Drosophila melanogaster: one gene and its partner. The protein of the gene in region 2 interacts with the protein of the main gene of each other region in a pairwise test. Each region holds a gene or a part of one and is shown on either strand. Other genes may lie near its edges. The genes, in order: Spx and PNUTS.

Region 1 (4,557 bases), on a different chromosome or scaffold from region 2:
CAAACCAGTTCAGAATGTTTTTATGTTATTATTTTTTTTTATATATACATCTTTTTTAAGGTAAACAAAAAAGAAAGAAACAAATCGAAAACCAAAAGAAATTTAAATAAATGCGAGAAAATTGATGCGTAACGATTCGCTTGTACATCGTTATTGATTAAAACTATTACTATTACTATTACTATTACTATATGCCTCACAGTTTTTTTTTTGTTGTTGTTTGTCTTGCTTAACCAAAAAAAAAAAAAACAAAAGCAAAAGCAAAGAGACGAAGGAGAAAATAACGTTAAATATAACCATTTAAACGTAAAGCTAAAGTTAAGTTATTTTACCAAACGAAATGGAAGTTAGCACAGTGGGACTAAACCAAAATCGCTTAGGCAAGAATTCAATAGACGAAGAGTAAAAAATGAATAGTAGTCAAAACTATTGTAAATACTGTACTTGTATGTTTCCCATATTAATAAATTTATGCTAAACAAATTACAAGACCAAAAAACAAACGTGTTTCGAAAAAAAGCGGGACGGCATCATTTTGGGAATGCTAAAAAAGAATCCTAGTTTCATTTCAATAAATGGAAAATCATTCCTCAGTTTATTTTGAACTACAAGCTAGTTTCTATACATAACTTCAAAGGATTGGACATTAAATTAGAGGGAGCCCTTTAAAAATACTTAGTTAAATTACAAAAAAAAATTATCGCTTTCTTCGTATGTTCCATTCAAATTAAACTTACAGACTTGTTAATGTAAACGTTTTATGTTTATTGAAAATAGTTCCGTTTAAAAAAAAATCAAGAATCGAGAGTCAATTTATATCAAATCATTTCGTTCATTTCAAAATTCTATTCAAAGTTATTTAATTTCGTCTTGTAAGAATTCGAAGATTGTATTGCGACTACTAAATGGAAATACAATGATGATCTAAATGTCTCCCAGTGGTTTCCCGGTTGTTAAATGCATATTAGAAAGAAGAATGGAAATCTTAACATATCCCAGAGCAGGCTTCATTGATGAATCCTATTGATGTTTATTTCTCGTCTCGTCCAAATTGGTATACACTACACGCTAGACTTAGTACTGGTAGCCGTCGGGTTGATAGGGCCGTGCGTAGGGCGTGGGTGGGAAGGGCACGGGCGGCGGACGCCAGTTGGTGGGCGGTGGTCTGGGCGGAGGAGCAGGCATGCCGGGCGGTGCCCATGCATTTGGTTGCATCATGCGAGGCGGCGGCGGAATGCCCATTGCTGGCGGCAGCGGCGGCTGTCCGCCGGTCATCGGTGGCAACGGAGGCGGCGGTATCGTAGCTGGGAACGGTGCAGGCTGGGGAACGGGCGGCGGCGGTGCTAGCATGCCCATATTGTTATTCGAAACGGGCACCACCGGCGGCGGCGGCGCCATCATGGGTGGCGGCATCATCTGGCCCGGCATCTGGGCCGGGATCTGGCCCGGCATCTGGGGCATCATGGTTTGCACCGGTGCATCGGCGAACAATTGATGCGGCCGGTCTGCATGGGTCGATGGATTCTGGGCGGCCAACAGGCGCTCCGCAGCCGAACCGTGACGCTCGCCCTTGTGATCCTTCTTGAAGGCATAGGACACGGAAATGGGACGGTTGCACAGGTACTGGCCGTTCATGGCGTCCATGGCCGCATCGCTGGCCTCGAAGCTGGCAAAGTTGATGAACGCAAAGCTCTTAGACTTGCCCGTCTCTGGGTCTCGCATGATCTTCGGCGTCTGCAGTATAACGCCGAAGGCGGAGAACGTATCGTACAGCAGCTTCTCGTCCACTTCCACGTCTAGGTTGCCAATGAAGATGTTGGCGCCGACGTCCAGGTTCTTCTGATGCGCCGACGCCTTGTTCACGCGAATGGGCTTGCCGTAAAGCTTGATCATGTTCATGATCTTTATTCCATAGTCGGCGTCTTCCTCGCTGAGGAACTCGACGAATCCATAGCCCTGGTGCATTTGGGTGACACGATCCTTGGGCATGTGTACGTTCACTGCAAGCATGACGATTAGGGAGCTGCTAGGCACTATACATGTGTGTCCGGGACTTACCCACTGGTCCTGCCTGGACAAACAGCTCCCAAAGCAGCGTTTCCGACACCTTGTCGTCAAGACCGCCGGCATAGATGGTGGCATCTGTGGAAGGAACGGAAAAGGCGGGTTAAAGCGTCTCCCAAGTGGTGCAAATGTGGAGTGGAGGTCAAACCCACCTTGGTTGCGTTCAGCAATTGGACCTGCCGCCATTTCGGAGCTATTTTTATAAACAAAACCAAAAACTAATTTTCGGCGTTTTCAACATGCAAAAATGCTCGCAACACAACCCTGAATATCGAAACAGCCTATCGATACCATGAATCGATATATATTCCACGATTTCGTTTTTATTGGCAATCGAAATTGATATCGAAATCGAATCAAATCGAACGGATATTAGAAAAAATACTAAATATAGACGAAGCAGAATAATTAAATATAATTTCAATAGGTTAAAATATTCACCTCTATTTTTTGAAAATAAAATGAAATATTTTAATAATAATATTTTAATTAAATGATAAACAGTTTTTCGGTTAATTGGAGTAACCGTATTTAAATTACTCAGGCGATATTTCGCCTCCCATGCCGTGCCATCCCTAATATCGATAGTTCGATTGGCCGCGCTGGCCAAGAACCCAACTCTAATTTTTATGTAATGTCACTTTGTTGTCGTTTGTTACAAGAAGCAAGGAAAATTCGTGCTAGAAACCAAAGAACCAAGACCCCAATATCCGTGCGCTGTGATGTGATAATCAACTGTGTGTAAATTATGAATTGTCATCAGATTTTGAGCGGCGCTTGCAATGCAGGCGACCGGTGCTTCGCCATTGGCTCCGTGGAAGGAATACCATTTACAGTAAGCACAGAGCCATCCCAATCCGAATCCGGATCGAATTGGGTGAAAATCGGTGGCGGAATGTGCACCATTATCGGCCCAACCAGCCGGACACGCCCCCCAACCCCCCCACGCACACTTGGTTCAAAAGGTTGAACCGTTTCCAATTGGAAACGGGGCATCATCATCACCATCGTCGTCATTCCAACAAGAACCGATCGGAGCACGTCTTTAATGTTTTTATTTACATATTTGCGTGTGTGTGGTGTGCGTGTGTGCGGTGTGTGTGAATGTGTGTTGAATTTTATATCGTTTTTTTTTGCCACACTTGGTGGTCAATTAAAAAATCAAATGCAAATGATGAGATAGAGAACTTTTCGTGTTTGCTGGCTGGCGCTGTGCAAAAATTCGATAACAACAAAGTGTGCAGCTCGAGTGTGTGTGTGTGTATGTTGTGTGGCACAACAAATACAACACAATGTTTGTTTTCACCTGCATTTACATACCTGGCCAGCAATTAATTACATTTTTATTTTTTTAAGGTCAAGTGCTGGCAGTAAACAAGCCGCACGCACACACACACACACACATGCGCCAGTTGCAGTGAGAGTGTGTGCTTGAAAGTATATACGCATGTATATATATATAAGTGCGAGTATGTGTGTGTGTATACCCTTCGATTGGTCAGGTGGCCTTTGATGCCCTAATTTCGCAGCTTGCAGGCTGCCCACCTTCCCCTTCCCACGAACCCTTTCTCTATGGCAGCACCCCCCGCCCCGCAACCCCTTTCGCCAACCCACGTCAATGGCAAATTGGAATTATAAACGGCCATAATAAAAAAACGTGAGCACGCATTTATAATGTGCCTTATTCGATCCCTATACTATATACTACCAAATACTCTTAGCAATCTGGCCATTTTCGTGTCTAAAACCTTTAACGGTAACAGGAAAAAGTTGAAGAGCTCACTATAAACTTCGCTATGTCAACTTCGAGTTTATAAACATTACACCCATTGAGACATGTGTACTATATGTTTACTCAGAATGTTTATCCGATGTAGAGAACAAGGTCTGTGTTTTCCTGCAAAAACCCAAGGAAGCATAATTAACTACTGTGCACATTTTGCCATTCTAATGAGAGGCCCCACGGGGCGTATGTGTACATTATATATATATTCTATATTCTACTATATTCTATTCTGTAATCAGCACCGCCGTTGACACAGTCCCCCGTTCACAGACCGACCACCAACCACCCAACACCCACCCACTGCCCACCGCCTTGCGCCATATCATTTGCCATCATTTCAATTTGTTTAATTTCGAGTGTTTGCATATGTGTGGATGTATGTGTGTATGCATATATTTATTTAGTATATGATCGGCACGAACACACTCCCCTGGCGCCACCTAGCGTTTGGAAGGGGAAACCAAAAATAATAAACTCATTAAAACCGCATTTAAAGTCAAATTTTAATAGTATAGCAATACTACAATAGGATACCGTAAAAAAATCACTGTTTATTTTCAGCAGGTAACAAAGTTTTATATAAAGTAATCTTATCCGCGGGAACACTAATGGGTTGGTAAGCGAAAAGTTCGGAAAACCCTCCATTGAAAAGTATCATCGGTGTGTTTACTTAATGGGTAATATTCTCAGTTAAACGCATAAACCCA
Region 2 (8,272 bases):
CTCTCTACACTAGCGGGCACCGCAATAGAATCAAAATTATTGTATAAGTATTTAATTTAATTTTATTACAAGTATAAGGTATTCAGCATGTTATATGCTGAATTAGCATTATGTATCCATTGCATTTTTGGAGATTGGCTTTTAAAAACAACTAGAATTAATACGAGTTCGTCCCCACAAACTTTTCATCCCATTAGTAAACCTTAAGATTTCTATTTACACGTTGCTCAGAAAATCAATTTTTATTGAATAGGTCCTACTACTAATTAAAACTAGGAAAACTATCAGCTGCTCCTCGCCTTCTTGTTGGCCTTGATCAGCTTGGCCTTCAGGGCCTTCACGTCCACCTTGCTGGAGGAGGAGCCATCCTCCTTCTTCCGACTTGAAGCAGCTGACTCCTCCGTGGGCGGGACAAAGTCCTTGTTTCGGCGTTCGTCCTGGCGCTTGGCCGCCTCCTTCTGCTTTTCGGTGCGCTCCTGGTTGCGCTTCGCTTGCTTCTGCTCCTGGTTGAGGAAGTACTCTCCGCTGGCCAGCTGCTTGTCCACCTTGCTCTCCGGCTGGCTGGGCGGGAATGGGGTGTACTCCTTCTTTTGCTTCTTGACCTTCGGCTGCTTGCGTTTGCTAATGTTTTTGTTCTTGAACTTGGGCAGGAATCGGGACCAGTCCTCGTTGGCCAGACGCGGATCCTTCATCAGCTCCCGCTTGATCATCAGAGCCTTAATGTTGTATATGGGGTGCACATTGTTCATGGTCTCCAGGACTATATCCCGCACCTGCTGAAGGCCCTTGTAAGGACCCAAGGCGGAGACTGTGTTTCCTTGAACCAAAACGTAGCAATCGGTGAGCAGTTCAATGGACTTAAGGGTGGCGCCGTTAGGTCCGATCAAACGCTGTCGCCGCTTCACGAACTTCTCCTTCTTGTGCACAAGGTTTCCGATTTTGATGATGTCACACCCAATGTCGTCCTGCAGGACCCGCTTGGCCTGCTCGAAGGGAACACTTCTGGCCATCAGCTTGATCATATCCCGCGCCTTGATGATGATGTAGGGATCCCAGGTCTTGCGACTGGTCTTCACCACCATGCTCCCCTCCATCAAATCTAGCTCCGCCTTCAGGTGGTGCTCCGCCAAGCACTGCTCCACCAGAGGCCAAACCTCCTTAAGATAGCGCTCCCGATATTTGGGAAACAGCGTGGCGAAGGAGCTCTCCTCCACCATCCCATGCGGGTTGTCCTCCTGCCTGAAGGCAGGGATCTTCATGGACCACGCATTGTCCACCGGCTCGGTGCTGATTTTGGTCTCCTCCGCTTCACTTTCGCTCATCGTTACTCGAGTTTTCAGAAGCTAATTCTACAGGTAAGATTCTTGCACGCTTGTTTTGGCCAGGCTGCCAGATCAGCGGTAAATGCGTGTGACCATATCAGGGAAAACTGGTTGGTTAATATTATTGATAGATTACCTATTTAAAGGTTTATTTTTATCTTGATTATAAAATAAATTTTTCGATTGAGAATGTTTTAAAATATATATTCAAATACAATTATATTTGATCGTGTGCCAGATAAATGCCTTAACAAAATTGCGATTCCAATGTAACTCAAATATTAAGGATATTGGGTACATCAATACTAATAAAATATGCAATTCTGAATATCTAAAATATAAGAAATAAGTCAAACAATACATGATTTAGCCCTGACACCTTCACAAATTTTATTTAATTGAAAAAGAGCTCAGGGTATCTATAACTTATGCCATTATATGTGTTAGAATAATTAAGATGAATTAAAATCTTAATTCAATAAATTTCTTTTTATAGCATTCGCTATTATCCACCGTGGATAGTTTTTGAAACTGTTAACGGGAAACTAAATCCATTTATATTAAAAGTGTTTTTAAGTAAATAATTATTGTTTGTACTTTCAAAATAGGGGTATTAATTAGATTACCATATTCCGACTATGCGTTTTGGTATTTTCTAAACAAACTTTTATTTTCAAGCAAGGAAAGGTCACACGATTTTGTGAGCCTAAGCAAAGCGCACGCAGGAGTTTTCGGAGAGATAGAAAAATCGTCGCCAATTAAATATTTAACAAATTGTAAGGCCGATAAACAATTGTACATTTAATATATATTTTCTGGAAGGCTTATTACCGATTTGCTCGACCTAAGTGTGCGGACCTAACCGCATGTCCAATTTTGGGGCGTGGACGTGAACGAAAGCCGATAATTAGGATTAAACAAAGAAAAATCAATATAAAGTGGCCGATATTGTTGAAGTTGCTATTAAAAGACAATTTTCTAGCATTTCCCTTGGCTGCGGATTTAATTACGCCTTTGTGAAAAATTGTGAAAATCAAAATGGCGTCATTGTTGTGTGCGTGGCAAGGCGCTGCCAACCTGCTTTAACAGAAAAACTAAGTAACTTTCACATTTTGCTTGTACCTAAAGTCAAATTTGGGTTGTAACCAAAAACGAGGTAGAGAGACATTTGTGCTACAAACGTTCAGACGAACGCATGTTTTCGTATCAATACCAATACGTCGTAATATATAATTTTCGGTTTTCTGAGAGTGGACAGCCTTCAGGGCTGCACTGGCTTATCGATTACCGATAGCCGCGAGCACACGTCCGAATTTCATCAGTGCCTGAAAAAATCGCAACGCGTAAAACACGTTTTCTGCAGCTCCAAAACAAAAAACAAAACATTCAAGCGGAGGGATTATTGGTTTACTGCCAGTTGAGACAATAAAATAACAGCATTTATCATATTTTGGCGCTGCTGCTGGAATTTATTTAATACTCGTCTTAAAAGTGAATTGTAGGGATATAGCAAAATTTTATCCTGCTAAATTTGTTCTCAGACTGGTGTTTTCTCCTATTTTAGATACTATTGCAGTCCTTGAAAAAGCGAATTCTTATGGAATTACGTAATCAGTGGAAATTTAGTATCTATTAAGACACCCATACCAACAAAAGCGAGTGTCGGTGCACACACGCACGATCCAACACACGCGCACACGTTGCGTATGGTCACACCTACAAGTGTGGAAGAGAGACGGCTATAGGGAGTTAGCGTTGCCAGATAAATTTTCTTCTTTCGCACGACTAACAAAGAAAATGGTGAGTTATATTGGCTAGGAAATGCAACAACAGTTGTGCTTTATTTAATGTTTTTATTCGACAGCCTCGTATAGTTCCACTGCAATTGCTGAGGTGCCTGCGGGTGCTTTTGGACAATAATGGTGGAATTTTAAGTGCAGTGGAGGTGAAACGCATTTCGGGGTAAGTTCACCACTTGTCAGCAGCGACACCTATCGGCGTTTGCTAATATCAAGTTTTTCGCCCACAGTTTGATGGCCAAGTATTCAAAAAAACTCGTCTCGAAATGTGTGTATGTACAAATTCTGAAATCCACAAAGACGGAACTATTGGGCGACTTTATGGCGGTGGGCGGTTGGTCGCTGGTCTACACCTGGTTAAATGATGCCATCAGGGCCATGAACTGGCCGCTGGTACAGGAGATCCTGGAACTGCTGCTCCTTTCTCCCGTGGATGTCAATCGCCTCAAGATAAACTCAGCACCTATTCTGGTCAAGGGGCTGTGCAAGGATGGCGGCAACGAAGGTAAGTTTTCTTTGATAAGTCTTACTCTAGTCGTAGATTAGTGTTTTTGGGTCATGTTTTGGGCTGTCCTTTATGCTTTTAATTACCTAGGGATTACTAATTGGCTTTTCTCGACCCCGTTTTCCAGGTGTACGCATTCTAGCCAAGCGTTTGGTAGAGCAGTGGCTGAAGATTGTGACGGAAAACACAAGCATGACGATCCAAGGTGCTGCGCCACATATTGCAGCCACTACTGCCTCTCAGGTTCCTGCATCCGTTTCTGGAGCTGGCTCCGCTTCAGTTCCGGACTCTGCCTCTTCTTCAGACAGCACTGATAGCGCCGGAGCACCTGTGACGTATACCATCACCTCGGCGGCCAACAGTAGCAATTCCAACAGCATTACCATCAAGTGGAAGCCTTTGTTGGACAACCCAGATGGTGGCGACGAAACGGATTCTGGCACACAATCGAAAGACAACGAGGTGGAACATCTGGAAAAGGGCTCCTCCGCAACCCACTTATTAGCAGATGCTAGTCTGGGGAAAAAGTCCGGGTTAGATGATAGTAGCTCCGCGGCGGAGGTTAAGTCTGGGGAGGACGTGGATAATAAGAAGCATAAGAGCTCAAAGAGCGACAAAAGTAAACGGTCCGAGAAGGAGCGCGAGAAGGATAGAAAGAAGGAAAGTTCAAGTCATAGGTCCTCCTCATCTAGCCATAAGTCGTCCTCTTCCTCGTCATCCTCCTCTTCGAAGAGCAGTTCTTCCAAGAGCTCCTCATCTTCTTCCTCTTCCCATCGCAGTTCTAGCGATAAATACCGCGATAAAGACAAGGCTCGCTCAAGTTCCGGCTCCTCCAGCTCGAGCAAGGACCGGGAGCGCAGCAGCGGTTCGTCTTCTTCTTCCTCGAATAAACACAAGTCCTCAAAGTCCTCCTCGTCGTCGTCGTCGTCGTCGTCGAGCAGCTCTGGTTCTAGTTCGTCCAAAGATCGCAAGTCGTCGTCGTCAACTTCGTCATCATCCTCATCCTCGAGGCAGGACAAGGACAAGGACAACAAGCTAATGCCTCCGCCAGCTGTGGCAGCATCAAATGCTGCAGGTACATCTCCTACAGCTTCGGCAAAGGAGAGCGACGCACAGAAGCCCAGATCGATTCCTATCATGTCCCGCAAGGCCTCCATTTCGATAGAAATTCGCCGGGACACCGAAAAGACGGCCACTGTAAAGACGTACCAGTCCAAATTCAGATCGCATGGCCTGACGGAAGAGGCTCCGCCTCCCCCATCTCGCAAGGGCCTAAAGAAGCCCACATCGTCGGCGGTTGCCGCTTCACCCGCTTTAATGGCAGTCCCGTCTTCACTGAAGCGACCATCGCCGCCACCCAGGGATTTGTCCACCGACAAGAAGGCCAAGATCGACATCAACAACGTCGCGGGACATGTGGAGAGGCCCGGAGCCGCCAAGCTGATAGCGCCCAAAAAGAGTAAGCAACAGATGCTAGAATCACTATTAATGCTCTTCTCTATTTTATTCCACAGCCCAAGAACTTTGGTGGCTTTTGCTTTTGTTTTCGATCGGAGTCGAATGTCGAACTCCGCCGTATTATTTGTTGATCTCCATTCCATTCTCAAGGTGTTTAATTTTGCTTGGGGCGGGTCTTAAATTGTAGAGCAGAAGTGGGGCCTTTTAGTGTGGGTACTTTGCATTATAATGTATCAATCGTGGCGGTGTTATCCCCGGATCGAGTTTGAACTGCAAGCTGCCCGAGTGTGAGTCTATGACCTCAATTCCGGATGACGGCGGATGAAGTTGAATGGAGTTGAATCCCGAAATCTGGGCACTGCGCATGCGCTGAGACCGAACGAAAACGAAATCTGAGGCACAGACGATGCCGCCGCCGCCGTCGTCGTCGTCGTTGTCGCTGCCTGATGTTAAGTATTCAAACCTCAAATCTTGAACGTATTTAGCTTAGCTTAGCTATAAGGTATGTAGATTCACTTGGCGAGCAGCCCACCTTAAAGACTTACAAATAAAATACGGTTTCCTCTAGAAAAATACGATTTTTCTATTGAATAAAAAAATGCATTGAGCGCAAAAGAAACGAAAACGAAAATATTGACTTAAGCTGGCGGTTCTATAAGTTGGTAGGTGGTTCGATCACCACCGTGGGCTTGAGTCCCAGCTGCTTTGCTTTGGCCTCGATTTTGCTGTCGTGCGTCACCGAGGGTCTCCACAATTGTTCGCCTCGCTAGAGCAGGCAACCCTAGTTTACCCACATCCTCGTCGTAGTGCGTCATCAGCGGATGCGTCACCTTGGCAGTAAGCTGCACGGTGCGCGTAATCTGATCGCAGTGTCGGGTTCCTTGGGTAGATTAGTGCTGAGGAAACCCAATGACACTTATCGATGTGCTGACATAAATATACTAAAAGCATCAAAGTTTAAAGAGGTTTAACTATTGCGTATAACTAGTAGTCTTAGCAATACACTTTTAATAAGCGTACTTCTCAAGTTTCAATCGCAATGAGAGCTTATAACTATTTTAATTATGATGATTAAACACTATTTGTGTTGAAAAACTAGTTAAATAAAAAAAAGTCGAATAATTACATTTTGACATTTATATATGAAATTATACCGAATAAAGTCGAGCAAGCCAAAACTTTTAAAGAACTTTTGGGGAAAATTCATGAATTGTTTAGTAGTTCTAGGTTTTGGTATATATTCGGTGCTTATTCCAGTAGAGAGACTCCCATTTCATTAATTATCGAAATGTGGGTAAACTTAATCAATCAATCATAAACACAACAAATGTGTGTGTCCAGATCAGATTGTTTCTTTCCATAACTTTTTTACTTCTAGCAATTTCCAGCAAAAGCAAAATCCACCAAAGCCAATGGGCCATTCAACGAAGGCCACTTAAACATTTTCTTAACTAAACCAATTACTGGAGCGATTACTTACTTTACCCTCATTTTTCCAGTTCAAACCCTGGTGGAGACCAACCTGTTCTCGGACGCCCTGGCCGCCTCCATCGAACCCAAAAAGGTGGTGAAGCGCAAGCGTACGTCTGCAACATCGCCCACGGACAAGGACGCGCCACTGGCGCCGCTTAAGTTCTACCAGGATACTCTGGACGAGTCGAAGAGCGAGGAGAAGTCGGACGACAGCAGCAAGGAAAACGATGATGCGCGCTCCTCGTCACCTGGCAAGGACACGGATGCCGATGACGACGACATTCCCCTTAAGAGGGTCAAGGAGGACATCGAGCAAAAGGTGCAGAAGGCGAAGGCTGCGGCAGGCGGAGAAGGCGGAGAAGCGGGTAACACCTCTGACAACGCTGAAGATCTTCCCGAGGAGCCCAAGAAGCCTGGACCTGGCTGTGGACCCGATGGACCACCGGGAGTGCTCACGCTGCACCGCCGCAAGGGCCCGAAAAAGAAGCTAACCTGGCAGTCAGAGGAAAAGCTCACCCAGATACGATACTTCGAGGTCGATCGCTCAGAGCGCGTAAATGTGATGAAGCAGACCTTCCTGGAAATGAAGAACATGGAGCGATTCAGCGAGCGGGACGCGCTGACCATTGCTCGGCGTGGATTCGACGATACCATGGAGCCGCAAATGGAGTGGCGGCCACTACTCGAAGTCGATAATGTGCCCGACCACCCGAACGGAAACCTCTCCAAGCAGCGCCAGGTGCAGATGGACAGGGAGGCCACCACTCTAAGAGCCCTGTACTTCTCGCCCGACATGATTCCCGACAGTCCTGCGGAGGCGGAACTGGAACCGCATTTTGCTCATGACATTCCCGTGATACCCATGGATGACCTGACGGGGAATCCGGATGCTGTCAACGACTACAGTGCCTTGGCGTGGCCGGAGCCCAAGAAATACGCGCCTAGCTCGGGAGTCGGAGCAAATATCAGCGGATCGGACATGGGCTTCAATGACAATATGTTGACCGGACTGGGAGCTGGACCGAACCTAATGCAAAATCCATTCGATCCGTTCATGGGAGGCATGCCTGCTCCCACGGGAATGCCACCCGGACCAAACATGATGCCAAATCAAGTGCCCAACGGAACGCCGCAAATCTGGCAGAACCAAATGGGTCCGGTAGGTGGGCCGCCCGGTGTACCGCCCATGATGAACGGACCCGGTGGCCCCGGAATGGATATGAGCAATATGAACATGAACAACATGCCACCGCAAAACTTTATGGGCAATCAGTTTGGAAGTCCAGTGTCTCCATTCGGAAGCGGCCCACCACCTGGATTCAATCAGTACCCGCCCATGATGATGAATGGACCAGGTCCGGGACCGGTAATGGGACCCAATGGTCCAGTGATGGGACCCAACGGCCCCATGATGAACGGCCCACCCAATGGACCCATGATGAACGGGCCGCCCAATGGAATGGGGCCAGGACTGATGATGGGCGGACCTAGGAATAACAACAACAACAACAACAGGAACAAAAACAACGGCGGCGGCATCTGGCGCAGCGGGGGCAACAACTTCCAGGAGAACTCCGGCGGCAACTGGCGCTCAGCAGGATCTGGCCCCAATCGAGGAGGTGGAGGAGGCAATGGCAACACCGGCGTCTGCAAGCAGTTCATGCGAGGACACTGCAACATGGGCAAGAACTGCAAGTATGTGCATCCGCAGAAGA

Evidence for each region.
Region 1: the proteins of PNUTS (region 2) and Spx interact in a two-hybrid assay, tested with the Drosophila melanogaster proteins (one large-scale study listed by BioGRID).

What each region holds. Positions count from the first base shown.
Region 1 is NC_004354.4:6,253,604-6,258,160, reverse strand, and holds Spx (spliceosomal protein on the X), read right to left. Parts: upstream 2,340-4,557; 5' UTR 2,251-2,339; coding exon 2,217-2,250; intron 2,143-2,216; coding exon 2,059-2,142; intron 2,001-2,058; coding exon 1,075-2,000; 3' UTR 565-1,074; downstream 1-564. Other genes in the region: Rbcn-3A (Rabconnectin-3A), read left to right, coding at 2,813-2,899.
Region 2 is NT_033779.5:868,455-876,726, forward strand, and holds the start of PNUTS (phosphatase 1 nuclear targeting subunit), read left to right. Parts: upstream 1-2,010; 5' UTR 2,011-2,098; exon of another isoform or gene 2,099-2,886; 5' UTR 2,887-3,119; coding exon 3,120-3,122; intron 3,123-3,186; coding exon 3,187-3,284; intron 3,285-3,351; coding exon 3,352-3,626; intron 3,627-3,753; coding exon 3,754-5,085; coding exon of another isoform or gene 5,086-5,264; exon of another isoform or gene 5,265-5,695; intron 5,696-6,583; coding exon 6,584-8,272. Other genes in the region: dbe (dribble), read right to left, coding at 285-1,322.